Linked DNA regions of Coturnix japonica. The protein of the gene in region 1 interacts with the protein of each later gene in a biochemical or structural test. Links are inferred from orthologs where the notes say so. Each region holds a gene or a part of one and is shown in the gene's direction. Other genes may lie near its edges.

What was found. The genes of interacting proteins can lie anywhere in the genome.
Region 2: the proteins of JUN (region 1) and ATF3 form a complex in vitro, tested with the Homo sapiens proteins (2 studies listed by BioGRID and IntAct, with this or other methods). The link is inferred for Coturnix japonica from reciprocal best matches to the Homo sapiens genes JUN and ATF3.
Region 3: the proteins of JUN (region 1) and ETS1 form a complex in vitro, tested with the Homo sapiens proteins (2 studies listed by BioGRID). The link is inferred for Coturnix japonica from reciprocal best matches to the Homo sapiens genes JUN and ETS1.
Region 4: of the proteins of JUN (region 1) and MAPK9, one has a biochemical effect on the other in vitro, tested with the Homo sapiens proteins (17 studies listed by BioGRID and IntAct, with this or other methods). The link is inferred for Coturnix japonica from reciprocal best matches to the Homo sapiens genes JUN and MAPK9.

The regions. Positions count from the first base shown.
Region 1 is NC_029523.1:23,597,926-23,603,923, reverse strand, and holds JUN (transcription factor AP-1), read left to right. Parts: upstream 1-2,143; 5' UTR 2,144-2,667; coding exon 2,668-3,612; 3' UTR 3,613-4,237; downstream 4,238-5,998. UniProt on the Homo sapiens protein: Transcription factor that recognizes and binds to the AP-1 consensus motif 5'-TGA[GC]TCA-3'.
Region 2 is NC_029518.1:19,270,986-19,277,093, reverse strand, and holds the start of ATF3 (cyclic AMP-dependent transcription factor ATF-3), read left to right. Parts: upstream 1-2,118; 5' UTR 2,119-2,255; intron 2,256-2,585; exon of another isoform or gene 2,586-2,830; 5' UTR 2,831-3,189; intron 3,190-6,108.
Region 3 is NC_029539.1:785,962-792,171, reverse strand, and holds the start of ETS1 (protein C-ets-1), read left to right. Parts: upstream 1-2,220; 5' UTR 2,221-2,342; intron 2,343-6,210. UniProt on the Homo sapiens protein: Transcription factor. Directly controls the expression of cytokine and chemokine genes in a wide variety of different cellular contexts. May control the differentiation, survival and proliferation of lymphoid cells.
Region 4 is NC_029528.1:4,156,763-4,162,975, reverse strand, and holds the start of MAPK9 (mitogen-activated protein kinase 9), read left to right. Parts: upstream 1-2,223; 5' UTR 2,224-2,337; intron 2,338-2,572; exon of another isoform or gene 2,573-2,997; intron 2,998-5,934; 5' UTR 5,935-5,987; coding exon 5,988-6,109; intron 6,110-6,213. Other genes in the region: GFPT2 (glutamine--fructose-6-phosphate aminotransferase [isomerizing] 2), read left to right, coding at 65-226, 851-895. UniProt on the Homo sapiens protein: Serine/threonine-protein kinase involved in various processes such as cell proliferation, differentiation, migration, transformation and programmed cell death.

The DNA.
Region 1 (5,998 bases):
AATGTGGCTTTCTAGGATAAAACAGATGGACGACACTCCGACAAATTAAATATGTCAACAGTTAATTGGAACAACCTTTGTCAGGGTTATTTGTTTATACAGAAAACTGACTAAAGGAAAAGTCTTGTAACGGCTTCCTACGCAACAAAAACCACACGTATAAAAACCTTTAGGTTTAAAAACCATTTTAAAATAAAAACCTCCAGCAAAACGCTTCAAATTCATGTCTTCCCTTTCTCCAGAATTTCTTCTTTGCATAGACAAGCCCTTTACACGTCTCAAAATGGCGTGCTGACACAACACAGCCGGATCATTTACAGACTAAGTGGGAGTGCGGGCACAGCAAGAACACCAGGACGGCCCCAAGCAGACACCCCGTAGTCGCCAAGGCTGGATACCTGAGGCACATAGAAGCAGGGCACACACGCAGAGGTTTTGCCCTGGGATGCTCCCCCAGACAAGTCATTTGCAGCTTTAGGATTTCCAGAGCCAGAGATCGGCTGCACTCAACAGCCCTTGAGAGATTTCTCTCCTGTGACTTCATCTAATCACTTTTAAATCCTTCCTTCTGCACAGCACCCTCTTGCCAAGGTGTTCCACGGCAAACAGCTCTGCAAAGCAATTTCCCTCATTCATTCTGAGCCCTCCATCTGCCAGTTTTGCTCAGTGTACCTCAACTCCTGTGCCAGGAGTCGGGCTGTGGCCTCTATTTATCTTGTGTGTAAAGCTTAGGATGGAGCTAGGAAGCTGCTTCTAACACAGACGACTTTCAGAGGCTTTCCTATACACATGCAGTAACTGCTGCTGGAGCTACAGAGGCAGCTGGAATTACCTGCACACAGGTGCTCATTGCCTACCTGAAGGCTGTGCACACACCTGCAGCAAACACTAAGGCCCACATTTGTGGGCAAACTAATTCACTTGACTGTTAGCACAAACATGCACAGGTATTGGCTGTGTGATTCCAGCACATGGGTGAAGTGGATACACTGAGTGCAGCCAGGTGTGCACAGCAGGGAGGACCGGGAGATGACTCTATAAAAGGAGCAGTAACTTCTATCAGTCAGTGCATCCAGACATTCACTTTTAATTCACAGCTCTTTTTGATTCTGTTTATTACATTGCTCCCTCCCGTACTTTAAGTGCTAATTATGTTATTACATCTAGAAGAAAAAAAATAGCACTTAAGAGTTTTAAAGTGCATTTTCAAACCGAGACTTAAGTTTGTCAGCTTCGTATGTCACACAAAGCGATGGAGCCCAGCAGCGAAGCAGCAGCGGCAGCACTTGTTGCCCCGGGTTCCCGTCCCGTCCATCAGCCGAGCTGCGAGTCCCCGGTAGCTGTGGAGCAGCACAAACCTCCCTCCCCGACCGGATCCCTCCATCTCCAGCCGTTCCCCTTGGCCAAGCTGCGCTCACACACTAATACCAGCACAGCTCTACAACCGGGAGGACAACTTTAGGAAAACCCATCCAGAGCCAGGCTCCTTCCCGGCAGCTTTTTCCCCTCTCATACTTTGGGGAGCTCCCGGCCCTGGGAACAGACACAGCGCTCACCGCAGCGGCTGAAGGCAGGCGGGGCTGAGGGCAGCCGGGCCGCCCGTCCCCGCCCGCCGGGGCTCCCCGGGACGGGAGGAGACGAGGCCGAGCCGCCCCCACCCCAGCGCCGCCCGCCCTGCGCTGTGCCCCCGTGCGGGGCGGGGGCGGCCCCGGCGCTGTGCGCGCCCGCCCCGGCCCTGCCTGGAAGCGGCGGGGGCAGCGAGGCGGGGAAATCACGTGAGGGCTCCCCCGGAGCGCCACCTTCAGGGCCGTACCAACAACGGGACCGGGGGGGGGGAGGAGGCGGCGATGCGGCGGGACTCAACGCGACGTGGAACGGAGGAGCGCGGCCCGGCCCCGCCGCACGCAGCATCTCGGCCCCGAGCGCAGCACAACGCACGGGCTGAGGGCGCGGGGCGGCTCGGGGCGGCATCGCGGTGCCCCGGTACCCGGTAGGGCAGCGGTTGGTTGGTACGAGGCCGTCGAGCCGCCCAACCCCGCTCGGAGCTCGGGCCGCGGTAACCAGATATTCAAAAACAAGACGTCAGCCCACAATGCCCCGCGCCGCCGGCAGCATTACCTCATCCCACAAGGCCCCGCGCCGGCGCTGAGAAGCTTCTAGGGGCGGGGTGTCCATGGCGACCGGCTGCCATGCACCGCGCCGGGCCAGCGCCACGCCTCCCCCGGGACGGGCGGCGGCAGCCAATGGGGAGCGCGCGGGGTGACATCATGGGCTATTTTTAGCGGGCTCCCGGTCGCTGATAAGTGAAGGGCTGCACGGAGCGAGCGGGCTCAGAGCGGGGCGGGCGGCAGCGAGAATCAGCCGCCACAGCGGGCACGGCCGAGCGGAGCGCGGAGCCGGGAGGTACAAGCGGCAACGGCGGCAGGAGCGGCCCGGCCCGGCACAGCGCGGAGAGGCGGCCCGGGGAGCAGCACAGCGCACAGAGTACAGAGTACAGCGTACAGCGCACAGCGCACAGCGTAGGCCCGGCGGGCCCGGCCCGCGCCGGGAGGAGCGGCGTTGTCCCGGCGAGAAGTAAGGAAGGCTCCGGCTTGCTCTTTCCCCCCAAGCCGCTTGGCCGGGAGCGGTGTGGGGCGGCTCCCGGCGCCACTTTTTGGGCTCTGTTCTATGAGTGCAAAGATGGAGCCTACTTTCTACGAGGATGCACTGAACGCCAGCTTCGCGCCGCCGGAGAGCGGCGGTTATGGATATAATAACGCCAAGGTGCTGAAGCAGAGCATGACGCTGAACCTGTCCGACCCGGCCAGCAGCCTGAAGCCGCACCTGCGGAACAAGAACGCCGACATCCTCACCTCCCCCGACGTGGGGCTGCTGAAATTGGCCTCCCCGGAGCTGGAGCGGCTCATCATCCAGTCCAGCAACGGGTTAATCACCACCACGCCGACCCCGACGCAGTTCCTGTGCCCCAAGAACGTTACCGACGAACAAGAGGGGTTTGCCGAAGGCTTCGTGAGAGCGCTGGCGGAACTGCACAACCAGAACACGCTGCCCAGCGTCACCTCGGCCGCGCAACCTGTTAGCGGTGGCATGGCACCTGTGTCCTCCATGGCCGGCGGCGGCAGCTTCAACACGAGTTTGCACAGCGAGCCCCCGGTGTACGCCAACCTCAGCAACTTCAACCCCAACGCGCTCAATTCCGCACCCAACTACAATGCCAACGGCATGGGCTACGCGCCGCAGCATCACATAAACCCCCAGATGCCAGTGCAGCATCCCAGGCTTCAGGCTCTGAAAGAAGAGCCTCAGACTGTACCTGAAATGCCGGGGGAAACCCCTCCCCTGTCCCCTATTGACATGGAGTCGCAGGAGAGAATCAAAGCCGAGAGAAAACGCATGAGAAACAGAATCGCGGCGTCCAAATGCCGGAAAAGGAAGTTGGAAAGGATTGCCAGGTTGGAAGAAAAAGTGAAAACTTTGAAAGCCCAGAACTCAGAGCTGGCATCCACTGCCAACATGCTCAGAGAACAGGTTGCACAGCTTAAGCAGAAGGTCATGAACCATGTCAACAGCGGGTGCCAGCTAATGCTAACACAACAGTTGCAAACGTTTTGAAGAGACTGACTTCAATAGGAACTGTGATGTTGTGGTATAACTAAACGACAAACCAAAAGCGGCGGACGCGTAAAGCTCACGGTAGAAGCTGGGAGGCTGTGAGTCCTGCCTGCGTGCTGCAAAGCACATGTGTGCAAAGACTGGGCAGCCTTCAGCTCGAGTTGGTGAAGCAGCCGGCACCGCTCCGAGGTGCTGATCCTGCTCCCATGAGGCGACAGATCTTCGTTTAACATTGACCAAGACCTGCATGGACCTAACATTCGATGATCATTCAGTATTAAAGGTTAAACTGCAATAGAAACTGTAGATTGCTTCATGTAGTATTCCTTAAGAAACAAACAAACAAACAAAAAGCGGGAGGGAGGTTTGTGGGAGGCTGATAAACAACCAAGAACTGTTGTTCCTGCCTTCAAGTAAATGGTGTATGTACATATCCTTTTTTATTTTATTTTATGAAAGTTGATTAATGTCAATAAACTACTTCATGACTTTGTAAGTTATTTTTATGTTGTTTATTTGGGTACTGCCCAGTATTGTTTGTAAATAAGAGGCTTTTTTTTAGCACTCTGAGTTTACCATTTGTAATAAAGTATAATTTTTTTAATGTTTCTGTTTCTGGAAAAAATCTAGAAGGTTCTATTATATTTAAAAAAAAATAAAATACTTAAAATGCATTTCCTCCTCACACCTTTTTCATTATTATTATTATTATTATTATTGCTAGTATGTGAGTTAGGAAAATGCCCTTAATGCTGGACTCTAAAGGGCAGGGATTATGTGAAACTCGCTCTGTAAGTGCAGGCATGTCCTGGAGAACGTGTGAGGAGGAGACGGGGGGAACCAGATCCTGAGCACTGAGCAAACAGAACTTTTTGAGTTGTCTGGGAGTTCCAGTTCCTAACCTTAACCTGGGAGGTTATTGTGTGTTGTAGTGGCCCTGCTGGGGCGGCTGACTTTGGCTTTAGGCAGGCTCTAGAGATGGTAGAAAGCCGGTGTGTGAAACTGCTTTGCACTTGTATCTGGCTGCTTGTGCTCTTGCATGCTTTTTATTAAGCCAATGCCCTCGAGCAGGATCAGGCAAGGGGCTGTTTGCTTTCCTTTGCAACAAAAGTGCTCTAGACTTCAAAAGTAGAAATATTCACCTTCGTTCCTATGCAGTCTTTCTGCAGTGAAAGGTGATCCTTGTTAATATCTGAAAATGCTGTTGTCAGTGGAAAAAAACTTTTTATCTCTGAAATCCTTTTGGCTGTTACTGCAGGTTCTGAACTCTTTAGCAATAGGAAAACTGGGAAAACAACGTAGCAGGAAGTGAAAAGACATGAGAGCAACTCTCCTGGCACTTCCCGTGTCTTTTTAATGTAATCTTGTTTCTTAGCACAGCAATGTAAACATCTACTTTAGAGACATGCTGCTCAGCTGGTGGGGGGAATGATTTTGATATGATTCTGATAGCACCCTTCTCAACATGTGGCACCCAATTCATTCTCTTCAATAACTGTGTATATGAGGAGAGAGCAGATGTTCTGTTTGATGCCGATGGCCAAACAGCAAGGAGCAGAAACTATTACAGACTAACTAGAGTGCAATAACATCAGTACGTTTGTAGACAGTCCTGATCCATATTTTAAGGGCAAAAAGGTAGAAGTTTCTCTGCAGTGACTGCCATGTGTAAGGTCACATCACAGAATGACAAGAGCAGACCACTAATGTCAGCATAGCGATACTCTGAAACTTCCAACTGATGTGCATCCAAAGATCAGTTCCTCATAGGAAGCACAGAACTTAGCTTTCTTCTGACTTTTTTTTTCCCTGCCCAAATTGTATGGAGTTAATGACACGAAGGGTTGTCCTGATGTGTAAAATGTGATACTGTGGCAGAATCCTACATCGTAATCCAAGCATGGAGGCCGGTGCTGTTTAGATGCTGTTTGCTGCTGTCAGAGGAATACTCTTGTAACAACACCAACCAAACAAAGGGTTACTAGGAGGATACTGTAGTTTGCCAAGAGCACATTTTGCTGATGTCAGCAACCCGGAAGGTAAGTTGATTTTGACCATATGTAGGAACAGACAGCAGAGGGATAATACACAGCACTGCTGGGTGTGGTTTTACAGGGATTTAAGCAAGTGCCAACTAGCAAAATAAGCAGGGCAAGGAGATTAATTACCTGCAAAGGTGCCTGTTTAACTCTCCATAGTGCTGGGTTATGGAATAGATGTTACTAGCAAGCATTTTGCTTAATCACCTAATTACGCAAAAAATAAATACATTATATAAAATACTATGTTAATTAAACACAGCTGAGTGACAGTCTGCTCCACCCTATGCTAATACATGCACACAGACATTTAGCGCTGCAGTTACAAGTTTTCTCTCTCCAGTTCC
Region 2 (6,108 bases), on another chromosome or scaffold:
AACAACCGGACAGCAACGGTTCCATTTCAAAGGTACTTCTGGACACTTTGGATGACGGATCTTCTTTTTTCCACCTCTGTTATGCTGTGACATTGCCCTACGGGTCAAAAAAAGGTTCCGGGTAAGTTCCCCCTTCTGGAGCAGGGGCTGCAGGGAACAGGCAGTTGCTACATCTCTGTCAGCATTACAGCGGGCACCTGGTCGTGACCACTAAAACTAACGTTGCTAACACGTTTCCACAATAACTTCATGCTCGGCGCTTTCCAGCCAATTATCTTTTGGGAAGACACATTTTCCACATTTGGCCTCTGTTTGAGAGGGATTTTTTATTTTTTTTTTTCTTCTAGGCTTGAGAAAAACGATGCCAGCTGTTTCTGAACACGGCATGTATTATAACATTATGCCTCTGAAGTAGCGTCAGCTCCTCAGAGCGCGCCCAGCTGAAATGACAAGCCCTGTGAAGAGCAAAGCCTTTGCCTGGCGTTATTTCTGACTCTGATTTACCTAGATTAAGAAATAACCGTGTTTTGAAAGAACTCGGCTTGATTTATCGCTAGGTGAGCGCCTGAGCCTCCAGCAGGAGCAGCTGCCAGGTGGGTCAGGGCTGGCTCCTGTGCCAGCAGAGTGCACCGAACCATTGGGGAGCACCAGCAGCCGCACCTTGTGCAGGAGGAGAGCCAGCAGCACCGACCTGCCTGCTTTTCTTTTTTCCCCCCCAAGGCAGGCAATTAAATTTGAAATAGGAACGCTGTGTTTGCAGAGCTGAGCGTGCTAGCACGGTGACATTTCAAAAGCTGAGAGTACGCTTCCCATCTGGGTGGTCAGCGTGTGAGTTGATGTATGCACACATACACCCGTGTGGACACAGCGCACAGAGGTGAGGTACGGACGGGCTCAGACTAATGTTAGAAATCCGTGTCCTCGGTTAAATGCTCTAAGCTATCGATATGTGCCAGCTTTTCCCACTCGAGACGTGTTACCCGTTACCAAATGCAGCCCCGTGAACGCTGCAAAATGAATTAACTGCCTGAAGGGCTGATCGGGGTCTGTGCTGTAAGTGAATAAACGAGTCTCCAAGCTCTTCCCGTTCTTAGCAGGGAGACCCAAAGAGAACAAGTCTGTATGAACCGAGGATGGAGTATTATCGTATTGGATAACTCTGTGCAAATCTCTGCGAGCCTCGCGCTCTCGGATAGGTGCTTTTTTGATACGTCTATTTTCTAGCGTTTTTGGAAGGCAATTGCTGTCACTTACCGAACCAGGAAGCTGTGGGAACAAAAAAGAACAAAACAAAACCCCTTCACCACCGCCACTAACACGTTCCCCTGCCTCCTACGGGGAGTCTCCGGTTATCCCCGAAACCAGAACGACATCGCGTGCTGCGCCGTTTGAAGGGGAGAAGTTATTTATTTATTTTCAGCGTTCTGGAATTTAATTAAACGGCTCCTTCCCCGTTTCCTCGGGCTAAGAACTGAAGCCCCCCGCCCCGATACGGGGAAGCGTTTCGGGCCGTCAGCTGGAGCGGCACGGAGCGAGCGCGGGGTGGTTCGGCTTTTTTCGGGAGGGGGCGTTCAACAGTTTGGGGGCGAAAAGGGCTCCCGTTTTCTAGTCCTTTCGAAAGCCGCGCTGCCTTCACTTAGTTTGACCGTCTCCGAGCCGTGAGAAGGACTCTGATTTATGATAAAGCAGCACGGCTAAGTCCCGCACGCCTGAGAAGTCGGGACGCCCCCTGAAGTCTGTTAAAAAGAAGAAGAAAAAAAAAAAAACAAAAAAGGGAAGGGGAAAAGAAAGCGCCGTGGGAGGACGGCCCCGTGCCGGGTGCCGGGTGCCGGGCGCTGCCGTCCCGCGGGTCGCTGCCGGCACGGGGCGCTCCGCCGCTTGGGGGAGGGGGTCCCGCGGGGTCCCGGCGGCCCGGCCCGGCTCGGTGAGCTCCTGTTATGGAGAGCGAGGCCGCGCCGCCCCGCCCTCCGTGCAATGGGAAAGCCTTGCATCACCGCCTCGGGCCCCGCTGCCCCCCCGCCCGGCCGCCCGCCCTCCGGGAGCTATTAATAGCATGACATCAGCCCGGGACTCGCCGCCAGAGTAAATACCAGCTCTACCCGCTCGGCTATATAAGGGGGGTGATGCAACCGCGGCGAGAGGCAGAGGCGCGGGGAGCGCGAGCGGGCGCTGCTCTCCCGCCGGCGGAGCGGGCACGGGAGGAAGAGCGGGCGCGGCGGGGCCGGCGAACAGCCCCGGCCGGCGGCGGATCCAAGGTAGGAACCGCGGGACGGCTCCGGGGAGAGGGACGAGCCGGCAAAGCGGAGGAGCCCGCTCCCGGGGTGCGGCGGGAGCGGAGTCCCGAGCGGCTGCCCCGGGCCGGCCGTGCCGCTCGGCGCCTCGCGGGGGCGGGCAGCGCGGGGCTCGGCGCCGGGGGGATGCCGGCCGTGACCGCCCGCGCTGCCGCTCCGACCGCCGCTCCGACCGCCAACGGGGCGCCGAGGAGCGGCTGCGGGGCGCCGGGCAGCCCGCACCACCGGGAGGAAAAGCGGTAGGGACTCGCGCGGTTCTTTCTCTGTGCCGATGTCCGACACGGAGACCGGCTGCTGAAGTCTCGCCTAAGCGAGGCAGGCGTGGCTCGATAGAAAAGTTGTTAGAGAGAAGTAGCTTCCCGTTCGAAATGGGTTCTTCTGGCTTTTGAGCGGGTGGATGCCGGCGGAAAGTGGTTCGGGAGTGATGTGGGATGTCAGAAAGCTTAAGGTCAACCGGCGTGCACGGAGGTTGTGAACTGTAATTGCCCTTAATGCTGTTTAAGATTAACCTCAATGGTTATCGGCGTTTGTTGCATCAGCACCAGAGGAGAAGGAATTCATGAGAAGAAGCAAAACCGAGAGGTCAGCCGTCAGCAGCCGAGCGGAAAGACTCCGAGAAGTCGTTCGGGAATACGCATAACTAACAGAAGTGCACGGCTAGGAATCGTGTGCCGAAGCGAAAACATCGGCAGAGGAGATGGGTAGATTTGGTGAGGATGAAAAGAGCCGCTGAGAAAAGAACAAACAAAGCATAGTGACGGGAGCAGACTTGATTGAATCTACCTGAAGCCGAAGGTACCAGCAATAGCAGAAATGTTCCCCGGGGAATTGCCAAACTAAGAATAAAGTAAAGAAGCGTGAGCTCGCAGCGGGAGCAAGCTGTGCCTTTATGGGTCAGGTCTGTGAAATGTTCGACACCTTCAGTTCCAGTAACTTCAGAAGTCCTCAAAATAGACCGGAGCTGCCATCCATGTGCACGGTCTAATGAAGTAAACAGATAGGATCAGGAAGCCCAGATGTAACTGCAATTTGAGGCTAGATATCCCTATTGCTGTGCAGACCTAGGGAAGAGCGGCATGACACTCTTGAAAGCTGACAGACAGAGGAACAATTTGTGCAGAAGTTGGGAGAAGAAAGGGCAAACTGCTGCGGTTTATGTTTATTAGGAAAATCTAATCTCCATCCTCATAACGCATTTCTAAAAGTAGATCTGTTCCTCAGAAACTGGAAAACATCTACCTTTTGTTATGGAAAGCCAATCTGTTTGGCTTACTATTGGCTTCAGCACAGGCTAATTATTTTTGACATCCCTGTCACTCCCGACCACCAAAGCCGTGCACTGGAAGGAATCCTGCCATGCCATGTACCGGCCCCAGCCCCGCTGGAGAGTCAGCGTGGGGCAAGGAGCCCTGCCAGCTGTGGTGGGCTGGGGACAGGACCCCTCCAGCCTGCCTGGCCTCTGGCAGGGCCCCCGCTCCAAAGTATGGGTAAAGGGAGACGCTGTCAGGGTGCCTGGGAGGTCAACGATTCGTGCAGACAAGGGCACTGCTCTTTCTGGGCTTCCCTTCCCAGTGACAGCCTCCCTTCCATGTTTTTATAAACTGAAAGTGGATCAATAGATACCTGAGGACATTACAGTAGGGTTGCACTGGGGGTCGTGGTGCACTTAGCTCTTGTAGGAATAGCACTGCCTGGTAGATAAGAGCAACTCTCAGGCACGTTACTAAAACACGGGCATTCTTCGTTTCCTCTGGCGCTGACTTTAATTAAAGTTGACCTAAACTGAAATATAAACGAATAACCTCCCCCCCCTCCACCCTCCCACCATGCTGAGAAATGCTTGGCCCAATTAATTATTCCATGTGCTGGAGAAATGGTTTTATTGTTAATTGAAATCTCCTGGTTTGATTGAGTTATATGGAATTAAGTGTTTTGAATGAAGGCAGCAGCAGGAGAGGAGCAGACCGACGGTCAGGGAGCACAGCTCCAAATTGTGTGAACAGTGGGGGCTCAGTGTCACGGAGTCTGGCTGCTTCAGTGAGCTGAACGGCTGAGTGTTGGGAAGTGCTAAATAATGCCAGCAGTTCAGCTGGAAATCACAGGGCCTTTCTGACTCGGGGGGAAAAAAGTAACTGGTGGCTTTCTGAGATTATAGTATTAAAATGTATCGGCACTTTAAATGTGACTCATGAGCAGGGGCTTTCTGAAGAGAATTACATAAATTTCCCAAGGTCTTTCTGAATAACAAATTGTTCCTAATTATTTCCTCATATTTAACAACCAAGGGTGAAATCCTGGCCCCACTGAGGTCAACAGCAAAACTCCTTTTGATTTCAGTGGTTTCAGCGTTTCACCCCTGGGATGTGGGAAATCTTTGGCTCTTTTGTGGTCATTGAGACTCAAAGTGAGGAAACCTCTGCAGCTGGACAAGTGGTTTTCTACCTGCTGGCAGTTCACTGCCCTTGGATTTTTGTGTTTACCTCGCTTAGTGAGGAGCTGGGTTCTACTCCAATTTGCACCGATGTGGATTTACAGTATATTTTTAGATATCTCTGAGCGAAATCTATCTTCTTGTCAAGGCACGTGACCCCAACCACTTCTTGCCATGTCACAGCAGTAGCAAACAGGGAACTGCACAATTGGGGTTGTCCACGTGGAAATTTAACTTACCCACACTGCTGTCCCAAGGCAACTATTTGCTTACCTGCACTACGTTAATTACAACGACTTTGCTATCATTACAACTTTAAACAGGAATAGATTACGTGTCGTGTCATTACCAAGGGAATCCAAGACAACAAACATCTCAAAAACCTCCACAATAAGGAAAGCAGGAAAAGCAATACAGCAAAATCCAATGCACAAAAGTTGCTTTATGATTAGAGGAGGTAATACAATCTATTTTCCCATGGATTTGCACCTCTTGTCCTGTGGGCTGGCCACACAAAATGCTCAGCTTTCTTCCAGACCTCTTCTCTCGCCTCTGCTGAGGGATGGGTGGTTCATACTGGGTTGCCCATGGTGTTTGGCTGGCTGACTGCTGAGTTTTGTGCGTTTCTCCCTTAGTGGGGTTACCACTTTTCACTAAGCTGTACACATGTAGGGCACCTCTTCCAAAATTGGCTAAAAGACTGAGGGTGGCTAAAAAGGGGAAAGCAGAGACCACTGCTAGATCAGTTTCTTTTTGTTGGAAAACTGCTAGAAATGAAGTTCCTCCGTGGGTGCCCCATTAACCAAAGTCTCAGCCAAAGTCTCTTTGATTACACAGCTTTATATCCGCAGGAGATCTGGCCATAAACACTGAAGAATTAAAAACTTGTTGTTGAGGGCACGTGAGGACAGTTTTGGATTTTACGAGCGAAAAGGGAGGAATTGGCATTACGTTTTTCATTACTCCTTCCCTCTATCCCAGTTTGTGCCTCAAAGCTCCAGAGCATGAGTAGATTTCCACCTTTCCAACAGCTCTGATTGTGAACTGCTTTTCAGGAGTTTATTACGAGACACATTTTTCTGTCTGCTTGTAAAGCTGAATGTGGTGAGCATTCTGTAGCTGATCCTGTCTTGGTTAGCAAAATTCAGCTTCTCTAAAACTTTAATCTTTACTGAAGTGTAGTTGAGATGAAGCTGTGCTTCGTCCATTTCAAGCTGTGATTTTGTGGTGGGGTAGCTGTGAAGATGGAGATACTTCTGGGTATTAAATAATAATAATAATTCTTTGGTTACTGTTTTTTGTTATTGTTTTAAAACGCTGCCTTGAGGTGAGCCTGATGTGAAAGTTTTTACTAGTGATCAAATTCTGAACTGTTTCTCGTGAGGT
Region 3 (6,210 bases), on another chromosome or scaffold:
TCACCTTGGCTTATGATCCTCAGGAGGACCTCAGGTGATGCTAACCCCATTTTCCACCCATTCCTCTAACTGCAAAACAGAGATGAGCATTTCTCAGCACACTGGGAGAGCAGCTGTGCGTGCTGACATGAACATCCAGCACCTCCCAGGAGCCCAGAGGTCATTTGTGTGCCCTAAATTCAACCTGTGCTCAGCCTTTGAACCATCCACGGGACATTTCAGATTCGGTAAAAGCAGTAATAACTGCTCTAATTAGACACTAATGAATCTTTTTCTTTCTTTCTTTTTTTTTTTTTTTATGAGTACAAAGAAAATCCAAACCATCTGGAATGGAAACTACTTCTTTATGCACTATGGCTTTATCAGCTGAATGAGCTGCCCTAAATTTAACCCAACTTCTTGCTGCTGGCTGAAGCAATGGATTCGGGTGGCTGAAGCAGTAGTAACCCCCAAACCAGGCGACCGTGTGCAAGCAGTACCTTTACCAAGAGAGGTGACCTGCACACAGCAGAGCTCAAACCAGAAGCCTCTCCATTTTGCAGACACACAGTCGACTGGACAGCCATAACGCAGAGGCTATTAATACATAGATTACTGTATTGGAAAAGCTCTCTGCTGCAGAGCACATCATCCAGCTTAGGGAAAGAAAGACATCTTGCTCACAGATGCCCGCAGGGTTATCCTGCAGCCTTGGGAAGAGTTGCCCAGATAAAAATTGATTGCTGGATGCATTCCACTCCTTTGGCGCTCAGACGTGACCGAGTCTTTGTACCAAAGCCCAGCAGGCTGGAAACCTTCCTGAGAAGATGGAGCCCTGTAAATAATTTCCTGAGTTAAAATAGCTACACAAGAGATCCGTGCCTTATGGCTGCGAGTTCAACAGGTAACGTGTACTCATGGCACCTGCAGCTCTGTGCAGGCAAGGCAAGTGAGTGAAGGCAAGGGCTGACACAGAGCTCCATTCTTCTTTTAGGAGATAGTGAAAGTCCTCAAAGGACTGTTTCATACCTTTTATGTGCCTCAATATCAGTGTTTGTGGGGGAATTTTGGAGGGCTATTTGTCACTATGTGCGTTTGAGAGACCAGGTTCTGCTGGGCTGGGAGGTGAGGGGCAGGAGGGTCCTTCATGCACCACAGCTCTGCACATTTGATTTCACTGTGGGGCATTTGGCAGCATTAGATGCCACAGAAGCCTGTGCAGGCAGGAATTACGTGTCTGATATCGTACAGTTTCAGTCTATGCTTTTCAAATAGCCACTCAGCTGCGAGTAACCAAAATGCCAGGTTATGAACTGGGAGAGTTCTTTCTTTCCCTGGGATGAGCAATGCTTCTCCCCCCCCTTCCAGCCATAGCACTTAGATACGCACACTGCATTTTTGCTTTATTGTGGAGATGCTGCAAACCTTCCAGCAAGCTGACAGCTCCTGCGTGGCAAGGACATGTGCTGGAGTGCAGAGCATTTCCAGCCTGGAGCCCTCTCCTGGAGGAAAAGGCAGCTTTGCAACATGGGCACATCCTCCTGCATTCGGTACTGGGTAATGCAGGGCTGTGGGATCCAGAGCTGTTAGGACAGAAAGGAATTTAACCTCACATTTTAAGACTTTATGTGCTCTGGCCTTTGTTTCTGTCCCCATCTCTTTCCATGCTCAGGGAAAGCGTTCCCCTGCTCTTCTAGCAGCCCTGCACACTGCAGCCACCAAGCAGCCCTGCCCTCTGGGGCAAAGCAGCCCATGGTGCCCTAGTGGGGCCTCCAGCAGCAAGGGCTGAGTCAGAGCTGCCTGAGTGCTCTCCCCACTATGGTACCCTACAGAAAGGGAGACTAATGCAGCCTTTGTGATTGTAAAAAGAAAGCAGGCGTGCACCGAGGGGTCTGCAAATGGGCAGTGGGAGCCTGGCAGCTGGATCCTGCCCATGCCTGGGGGAGAGGGTGGCATCCAAAAGCACTGCGGTGTTTGCTGTGCGCAAAGGAGCAGGAAACCCTGAGGTGCCCAGGGGACTTTTGAGGAAGAAATAGCAATTTTGGGCAGCAGTCACCTCAAAGCTGGGGCAGCCCAGAGGAGCTTTGGGAATGAGCTCGATAAAGCTCACACCCCGTGGTGAGGGTCACAGCGTGACATCTGCCAGCGAGAGCGGAGCGCAGGGGGCTCGCCTCCCCACCGCCCGTGCAGGGCTGACCACTCCCCCTCTCTTTGAATAGGCGGCCCTGCTGCAAACACTATGGTATTTCCATCCTCCCCAGCTCCGGCGCAGAGGATAGCACCAGGTAGTTGGAGAGAGACCGGAGACAAGTGTGGGGAGCCGTGGAGGACATAAGCTTTTTCCTTGGTCTTCCAGATAAGTAGTAAGTGGTGGTGGGGAGAGAGTCGCTTTAAAGGCTGTTGTGGGCTGTAGGTACCTGTGTTCCTTTCTATGATAGATAGAAGGTTTGTTTTGCTGGGGATTTACTCTTTCTCTCCATTCCCAGTTTCACCCAGTGGCTGATTCGTGTGTTTGCTGATAGTTCTGCAGTGCCTTACGAGTGTCTGAGCTGATGCTTCCCTTTATAAGTCCTTTTTAATTTCATATATGGAGTATATCAAGTCGATATGTGTGCTTAGGAGCCTCTTCTAGGTAGCAGGCTGCGCCCTGGCATTCTTACAGCGGGTTACATTTGCAGTTCCTTCTATTTCTTGAGAGGCAGCTTTGGTTGTGGGGTGGGGCTTTGCTTGTGCTCGCTATGGGGCAAGGGACCAGAGAGGTGCCCAGGCCCAGATGTTCCCCCGGCTCCTCCAGCACATCTGGGTGCACAGACAGGGAGAGGGCAGGTTGACCTGCCCCCCCAGACAGGACTGCTTTCTGTCTTTGGAGGGATGCTATGCGAGGTTTGTTGCCTCACCTCCGCATGTTTTCCATGGCAATGGCATCCCCAAAGGGCAGAAAATGCCACAGGTGAGCATTTTGCGTATGTTTGCCTATGGGAGGAATTGGAGTCAGGAGCCTTGAGTGCGGCAGCCACAGCAATGTGCAGCTCTGCTGCTGCTGCTGCTTGGGATGGGCAAAATCCTGCACCCCTCTCACAGCCAAATAGGGGCAGTGGGCACCGTGTGGCCCCAAGCAGTGCAGCCAAGGCCTTCCCCCTTCCCATTATCCTCTAAATCCCCATTTTGCATGCGGTCACTCTCCTGCTATTACAGTTACCATCAACTTCCCATCCTGTGCTGTCAACTGACACCTTTGGGGGCTGTGGGCTGGGTCCGGGGTGGTTTCCTGGTTACAGCCTGTTCGTGCTGCCTCTAATCCAGCTGGGGTTTTGATCTCACCCCTGCCTGTCCTGTAAACAATTTTCTGGTAAGCCAGATATTTAAGGCTACCAAGATGATTGCATCAGGGAATGGCCCCACTCACCCAAGGGGTGTGATTTCCATGGATGTCTGCTGTGTATTTTGTGCACCCAGCACTGGGATTGTTCATGGCCCCTGCCCTGAGCTGCAGGGTGCCATGTGCATCTCCAAACCAGAAAGCAGCCCAGTGCTATCATCACCTTTTTATGCTTAGCACGTGAAGGCACAGAGAATCTCTGGTTTCTCTTAACTTTCTACAGCTGCTGAGTACTTAATGCTTAGTGGGATTTTCAAAACACCAGCAGATTTGGGCAGGCTGGTCCCTTGCATCCTTCCATAGGTCATATGGGGAGTCTGGAGCAAGACACCAAATACAGCTGGGCCTACAATCCCTACCCTTTCCTCCTATGCTTTGCCCTAGCTGAGGATCTGGCCCATGACGCTGCACTGTAGGTCTATTATTTCACAGAGGGAAATACGTGAGTGGAATAACAGATGACCTAATTAACCCCCCCCACCCATTCACATCTTCCTGCTGTTGCAAATAGCAGCTCTGATCTAAGAGGGAGCAGTGTGACTGTCGGCAGCAGCCTCTCTGCTTCAGCATCCCACCTAAACCCTCCCCAGCATGACCAGTGGGTTTGGTGATGCCACGTTCATCCCATTGCAGCCACTGCATGGCGACACAGCAGTGCCTTAGGGCTCAGGTACTCAGCCTCTCACTCTCCCTTTGCCTGTGTGAGCTCAGGCAGTGCATTTAATCTCTTTGAGTATTCACTGAGGATGCAGAAGGGCACTCAGTGCATTTCTCTATCTCCCATGTCTGTGCTATTTACCTCCCTGCCTGGCTTCCCTTCAGTTACCTTTGAGAAGGCTGCAAAGTTTCAAAATCATAATGAATGTAGGAGGTGGCCGATCTGTTAGGAAGCATATTTAGTGCATAGTTGGCAGTGAGATAAATGCAATCCTTCCTACCGCTCGTATCCCCGCATTAGGGATGCTCCTTTTATTTTAAGCTGGTGCCAAGGTCTGATGAATTGAATGGGTTTTTAGCATGCCAAGAGATCAACAAACACTTTTTCCCTTGAGAATTGAATTGGCAAACAGCCTGGAAAGTACCAGGGTTCCAAGGGTTAAAACCTTGTGGAACAAAGTCATTTCCATGAGCTATTTTCTCCACCCCCTCAAAGATGATAAATTATTGCTTGATGAAAAATAAAACGGTATCACTAAGCAACTCTGGGGCAGGAGCTGCCCGCGCCGCAGCCCATGGAGGACGAATGTGTCCTCTGCATTTTTCAAGTCTTTGTTCCCACACTTGTAGTTAGGAACACTTTGATAGGGTTGCTATTGCCGCTCCTGGCTCCCCATCCAACCTCATGGAAAGTGAATCTTGCTGGTTTCTAGGGCTGCAGAAAGCTGTCCAGATGCTGTCCCAGTCATATTGCGGCTGTGCAGGGTGCTAACATGGGAGAGATGGGAGCTTCTGTCTTCTCTGCTGCAGGGAAATCAGTGTGGTCTCACTCAGCTTCCATTTCCCCAGACTTAAAACAACAAAGCACTTAAATGCTGCAAGGCAGCCTTTTGAAGGGTCTTCATATACCCAGTAGATACAGCTCATCTCCATCTAATACCTATTTTAATTCCTTCCTAATTTCTACAAGGGTATGCGTTTATCTTAAGGACAAATCAGTTTTTTCCCTTTTTAAACTAAGTTTAGTAATTACTTTCTTAAAAATTCTCCCGTAAAAGAGCAGGGATGGATGTTGAAATGAAATTAAAATGTTAATTAAGTTTTGAAATGACTGAAGAGTCTAATAGCTTTGGCTGGTACTTGATTAAGCCCCAAAACAAGCTCTGCTTCCCCCACACGTTTTCACCATGAGACAGGAATAATAAGAGCAAACAATGAGATGAATCAAGCTGTTAAGTCATTAAGGATTTTACCAAATGGCTCTGATTCCCCTCTATTTATTAACAGTTTGCAGCAAGCTGCAGATCTCGATTATCTTGGTGTAAATCTGCAGTGATTTCCTCAATTTTGGCCAAGTTACCTGACACAACGGATGCTGTCATTGAACTCAGTTCAGCTGCAAGCTCCTGAGTGGTCATTAAAGCTCTCTAATGGCATCCAAAGGGAGGAGAGGAGCTATTTAGGCTCTTATTAGAGGAAGCTCAACAGAAGAAAAATATGGCTCAACCATCAGGGAAACCTGCTGACAGTGAGAGATGTATTGGGCTGTGAAGCAGCCTCCTGCATGTAGGAGACTTCAACCATAGTGGGTGCTGCTTTGGGTATCAACGTGTGGCACCGCGTTGGAAGGTTTGGTTTGAACAATGCTCAGTGAGGCATGAAAGCAGTTTGTAAGCAGTGTGCAGTGTGGGTGACTCGATCAAAGGGAAACAACAAAGCCAAACCCCAACTGCCTGCTGCAAAGCAGGAAAGCGGGCTGCTCTGCTTGTGGTGCCGCTATGTCACTGCTGTCACCCCTTGCTCTCACACGTGCCCATGTTGCTGAAGCACTTGGGTCATCCTGATGTAGTGTAACCTGATGTTTCTGTAGTGTCTGCCCTGTGCTGGTGCACTTTGGCAACATAGATCCTAACTTCAGAGCACAAGGACAATCAGTCACAGTTAGGTGATGCAGTTGTACCCTTTTAAGGTTAGGAGCGGAGGGACAGGTGTGTAACTGAATGGGGTGGAGTGACTTTCCTTTGTTGGCTGCTTTGTTGGCTGCTCTGCACCCTCTTTTATTCTCCCCAGCTGCAGTGAGATTTAAGACAACGTGTTTTAACGCCTGGTAGGGCAGGCTGGGAGGGTGTGCTCTGATGCTAAGATCAGTTAAGGCTTCTCAGCCACAGTAACTTGCAAGACGTGTGCGTTTAGGT
Region 4 (6,213 bases), on another chromosome or scaffold:
GACTGTGAACTAATATATAAGAGCAGCTCTAAGCCAGCTCTTAACTATAGAACTTTATTTTCAGGGTCGTCCAATCATCCTGTGTTCTAAGGAAGACACGGAAAGCTCAAAATTTGCCTACAAAACCATTGAGCTGCCTCATACGGTTGATTGCCTTCAAGGAATCTTGAGTGTTATTCCTCTCCAGTTGCTTTCATTCCACCTGGCTGTTCTCAGAGGATATGATGTAAGTGCTTTCTATGTATAGCATTCCAGTTAGAGCAGTTTTGCACTTCCTCCTACCAATGTTAAGGCAGATATAAGGTTATACGGCATTTCTAACAAAGAACTAGAATAATTGCTGCGACTGGTACTTAGTGTAGTAGTAGAGGTGGCATTTCACTGCCAATTCTTCAGCCTTTTCTTGAATTGGTGTGGAAGGTGGTTCTAAAAAATGTAAAGATTGTTTGCTTAGTTTGATTTGTGAAGAATGCAGATAATATTATTCCGGAAGCTAAGCATTGAAGTGTGACATTGCACTCTAACAGAGGACAGTTTATTACTTTTTATGGCTTAGTTTGTTGACTCTGTCTAGGTGTGTCAGTTTGGTAATGATGACCCCATTGGAAAGGCATCCTATGCAAAACAATATATTCAGATTTGTTGGGAGGTTTTTGCAAGTAAGGATGCATTCAACAGTGAGTTATGTACAGATCCGTACTCTTTTGTGTGCATTAGCGAGTCCAGAATAAAGCAGAACTCAGTAGCAATCCTTTTCTAAATAAGCAAAAAACACCAAACCAAAACAGCACAAAAGCAAGAATGCCAGTTGTGTTCTGTCACGCACTGAAAGCCTGTCTTTTCATTCTAGGTGGATTTTCCAAGGAATCTGGCCAAATCGGTTACTGTAGAATAACAGCCAAGAACAGTGGATATTTTTGTTACCAGACTCTGTTATGCTTGTGGAAATGTGTTGTTCTGAATCAATAGGTACACGTTTTTCAAAGGGAATGAGAGTGATAACTGGCAGGTGTCAGAAGGATTTACCTTGCAGCTTTAAAAGCTTCCAATGTGCCTTGTTACCCAAGTGCTTTTGCTCACAGCAAATGTTTCTAAGTCCCAAAATTGCCAAAGGATAAGATAAAAATCATTGTTTACACATGATATACTGAATGAACTTTTCTACTGTGCAATATATATATATATACAGCTCTCTTCAGAGTAACTGTGAACGTTTTTTTTTTAGCCTACACTACTTAACTAGTTTTAAAGATAAAGTATTTATAAGTACAACTGTATAGCTTTTCTTAAGTTATTTTTTTAGTATGTTGCTTATCGATAGCATTGGTAATAATGAGCTGACATGCTCAGCGCTCATGGCAAGTTTGTGTACAGTTTTATAGGGGTTTTTCTACTACATCCTCAAACTGGAAATAGGTTCTTCTCTTCCTCCCATCTTCCTACCCCCCTCTCCTATGGTTTACACCTGGTTTGTATTTCACCACCTTTTGCAAAGAGTTCCTGTGGCTGTCAATTCTCAGCTGTGTTTTAGCTCCTCCTCCTGCTTTCAGCTGTAACACCATGAGAAGGCCCAGCAGCGTTTTGTATCTCATTGCCTGCTTTGTACAGGGCAATTAAATAAGGGAACTGCCAAAATAAGGGTACCTTCCAAAAGGTGCTTATGATTGAAGTGTGTACAATGTAATTAATATGCAATTAAAGAAAATATTATACAGATTCTTCTTGTCTTGGGGCTTTTCTTTTCCTTCCCCTTAGTCATTTGTATGCACCAATGCTCTGACACCAGAAGGAGGAGGGCTGTTGTGTTATGTCAAGAACTGAACATCACCATATAAGAAAACACACGTGTGGCACGTATGTTTGGTAAAGAGCACTATGGGTGTATTTGAATAAATGCTCCTGTTTTGCTGTGCTGGAGAGACAGTCCCACCTACAGTCCCACTTTGGTGCCACCGCTGCCCTGTGGTGACGTCAGAAGCGCGGTGACAAGCTGACGTGTGGTGATGACATCACGCCGGAGGGCCGAGACCGCGCCTGGATTGGTTGAGCCTGCCCGCTCCCACTGCGGTCCTTCCCCGCTGCCCTGCCTTATATAGCGCCAGCTCTGTCCCGCCTCCAGCCTGCCATTGGCTGAGCATCGCGGTATGGGCTCGCGATTGGTCAGAGTTGCTGTCCGTCAGCGCGCTGAGGCCTGGCGCGGCCTGCGCGGAGCACCGGGAGGCCATTGTGGCTGTGGCGGCCCTGCGCGCCGGAGGAGCTGCAGGCGGCGGCGGAGGTGGCTGCGCGGCTCGCGAGCGCCGCGCCCCGTCCCGCTGGAGCCTGACCGGGAGAGAGACGGTGAGGGAGGCCGCGAGGAGGGCGGTGCGGGCGGCGGGGCCGGAGCCGGAGCTCCCCGATCTGAGCCGAGCCCCCCGGCCCTGTGCCGAGAGGACTCCCTGGCTCTTCCCGCGGGCCCCGCCCGCCGAGGCGCAGCCGGGGTTGGGCCGGGCTTCCCCGCGTGTCGCTGACCCGGGCCCGGCCCTGCGGAGCGGGGAAGGAGGCGGAGGGGCCGAGCTGGGGGCCCCTTCCTTCTTGTCGGCCGTGCAGTGCCCCTCGCCCTTCCCGTGCCGCATCGCTGCCCCTGCCCTCAGCGCCCCGTGCCGGCCCTGGCAGCGCTCGGTGCTGGCGGGGCGGGGGCCGCGCTGTGCTGCTCCGCGACGGAAACCGCACGAGTGAAGGAATCCCGTGAGCTCGCTGGGCTCTACGGCTGCTCCGTGATTTCACAGCGCAATAATTGCACGGCACACACACGTTTGAACTTTTCCCCTCCGTCTCCCGGCCGAGGTGCAGCCAGTATTTGCTTTCGGCGTTTGTTTAGCAGCTAAATGACAGCGGGGCTGGTGGCTGTCGGTGTGATCTGCTCACTAATAGCTTCGGCCGGTTAAAGACAGAGGTGCTTCTCAGAGAACTGAGCGGATAAAGCCAGTATTGGTTAATTTGCAGAGTACGTTTGTAAAGGTGAATATTCAGTGTGGTTTCCCTATCTTTTCATACTCCGTGTGTGTGTGTGTGCTCCGTGGGTTCTTTCTGTCTCCAGTGCAGTTTAGCCTGAAGTTCAGTTTCTTGATGTTCATCGTGATAACATTTCTGTATCCAAAACAGCGCAGGGAATGTTCCTAGCTGTTCCAACCTGTTTGCTTCAGAAGCTTTTGACGTGGAAAATATCCAGGGAATGGATCTGGTTAATAATAAGTTGCCATTTTAATAGGTGCCTTTTGCAGAGGTGACTGGTGCAGTGTGTACATACACTGTAGTGCGGTTGCTTCCAACCCCTAAATACTTCCTTGCTGCAGTTCTGTATGACAGCTGATACATTCATTGGGGGTAGGTTTGGTGTGTCTGTTTTCCTCTTTTTGATTGTTTTACTCTGCATGAACTGAGGCTGAACACCACTTTTGTAAGCGCTTGTGATCTCTATGCATAGAGTAAAATCAGCTTTGTGCTTTTTAGTTTTTCTGGTTGTATGAGCCCATTATTAAAACAGACACAGAAACCTGCACCCAATTTATCTGCCTCTCATGCGTGCTCAAAAATAGGAAAATTATCTTGAAGCACCGTAATTGAGTGCCCTTATCAATATGCAGAAGTATGTTTGCTGACTGTCCCATGAATGAATGACTCCCATGTCTGGCACTGCTCCTGTCTGCTGCAGCTCGGAAGCCATGAATGAAAATGTGCATTTCCTACATGGAAGTAATGCCAACTTCTCAAAGGATTCCTGCATGGGAGATGTGTGGGATGCATTATGTACCTGCTAAGGGGAGCAATGAATCAGATGGTCTCGGGTAGCAGTGTAACAGTTGGGGTTTAATAAACTTACTTGTCAGATGTACTTTTCCCTGTTGATGGGCAACCTTATTCAGTGGGTTTAGCCCCCAAATAGACACTGAGACTTAAATTATGTCAATACTTACAGTCTCGTGGCATTTAGTTTTGCATTAGTTTGTATATCTGAAGTAACCTGAGTCCTAACCAAGCAGCGTGCAGCCCATAGCATAGGGCTCAGAGAGGGGCTTGGTGCTCAGCACAGTGAGCTCCAGAGGATGTCAGAATACATAGAGCTTGTGTGTTGTGATTCACAAATCCCTCTTTGGGTCTTATCTAAAGAGCTTATCCTGGTCTTTAAACTGTTTTTCCAAGTGATGACTTTGTACAGATGAGATTTCTTACAGTGAGGTTTCTTTGGATCAGGATCACTTCCTTTTCCCTCTGCTTCTTTCTTTCAATGATCTTCATTAACCCATAAAGGAGTACCAGCATAGATCCCACATAACTAACAGGCCTAATTTGATTTCCAGAGTAATCCACATCTGCACTGTTTTCCCCCTCTTTAAGCCCTTTTCAGAGAGAGAATCTTGGCCTTTTCCTTAGTCTTGTCTTTCCAGCTGTGTCTGTGTTCCAGCATTTGGAGATATACAGAAAATACCAGGGCTGATCGGGGGTTGTTAATCAAAAACTGTGGTGCATCAGTGTCTATAGCTCTGGAATGATAAAAGACAGGAAGAGTGGGTTCATTCCTTACTGTCTAATAGCAGCTAGAGATGACCAGATTGAGTATTTACTTGAGAGAGGCCCATATTCTAATTCCTGAAGCTGCTAGAAGCTGCTCATGTAGCCCTGTGCCCTTCCAGGATGTGCTTCTGAGTTGCTGTCGAGGCTCTTCTGCTTTGCATGGGCTCTCCACTGTTCTGTAGACTGGTGAAGAGGGAGAGAATAACTGCTCTCTCTTTAGCTACAAGTGATGTAGCACAGCTGGGTGGTTAGGCCAGCTGCTTATAGGGGAGGTGATCTGCTTTCATTTCCTGTTTCGGGGAACTCTTGGCTTTGTAGTTTAGTCTGGGCTGTAATGGCATTACCTATTATGTTGCATGTGAAATTATGTGTGTCCACTACCTCAGTCTCAGGTGTAATTACCTACATCTAATTAATTACAGACAGATTTTAGTGTAGCACCAACATCTAGAGAGGGAGAGCCCATAACTTCCTTAGGGAATCTTGTCGAGCACCACACCTCTTCTACCTTTGCAAAGCAGGCTTTGTTTCTCCTTCTTCCCTTTCCTTCATATCTTCTAAAATGTCTAACCAGAATCTTTGTGCTCATCACCACATCCATTGTGTTCATACATTATTTCATTCCTCCTTTCTTTGGTCTTTTGTGCACTTCCTCCTCTAGTCTGTTTCTCATAAGTAACCCAGTTAACGAGATGTCCTTTCCCCTTGCTCCTTGCTGCCCTCTGGACTCTCAGAAAGTCCAGTTGCAGCTTTGAGAGCAAGGCAGATGAGAGGCAAACTGCAGTGTAACTTCCTGAATGGAATTGCTTTTTGCCTGCTGTTTGTTTTTGCCTTCATTAAAGGGGATTGTTAACATTCAAACAAAGCAGTCCTCAATCATCGTAATGCATTTGGGATAAAACTAACTGTTACAGTGTGGCTGGGTCTTTCAAGCTGTAGTACCAACTCCCTTAATTCTTGTAGGACTTGAAGTACACTAACTGATGGCATGGATGTCAATGTGTATTAAAGACGGGAGGAAGGAGTGCGGTGGTGATAGCAGTAACTCAGGGTTACGGAAGTTGGCTGAGTGCTGGAGTCTCCTACGAGGAGGAGAGAGTTGTTGCCTGAGGGTGTTGTTTGCTTTCACAATTGTTTACTTAGCTGCTTTTTGTGTTGGGGCTTGGAATGAGATGTTTGCTTACAGCTGGGAAAGGTGTGGTTATTTGTTGTCTCATCTGCAGGGGTTTTTCATTAGCAGTAGTTGTAAGTGAAGCTGAAATAATGCTTATCTAATAGTATGCTATTAAAAAATTCATATGTGTTAAAATATGCATAATCTATCTTCCATCTTGTCTGCCTGGAATTACTCAAATTGTACATTTGTTTTCTTTTTTCTTTAAGATCTTGAAGCCTGTACCAGGTCCTTGAGAGAGAAAACTACATGACACTACACCATGAGTGACAGTAAATGCGATAGTCAGTTTTACAGTGTTCAAGTTGCAGATTCAACATTCACTGTACTAAAACGTTACCAGCAATTGAAGCCCATAGGATCGGGGGCACAGGGCATTGTTTGGTGAGTAATAAACATTTTATTTAAACATAAAAAGCTCTAAATGCGTAACAAAATATGAATGTGTTCCTGATAGGGGTGCCAGGGTGTCCAGTATTATCAAAATC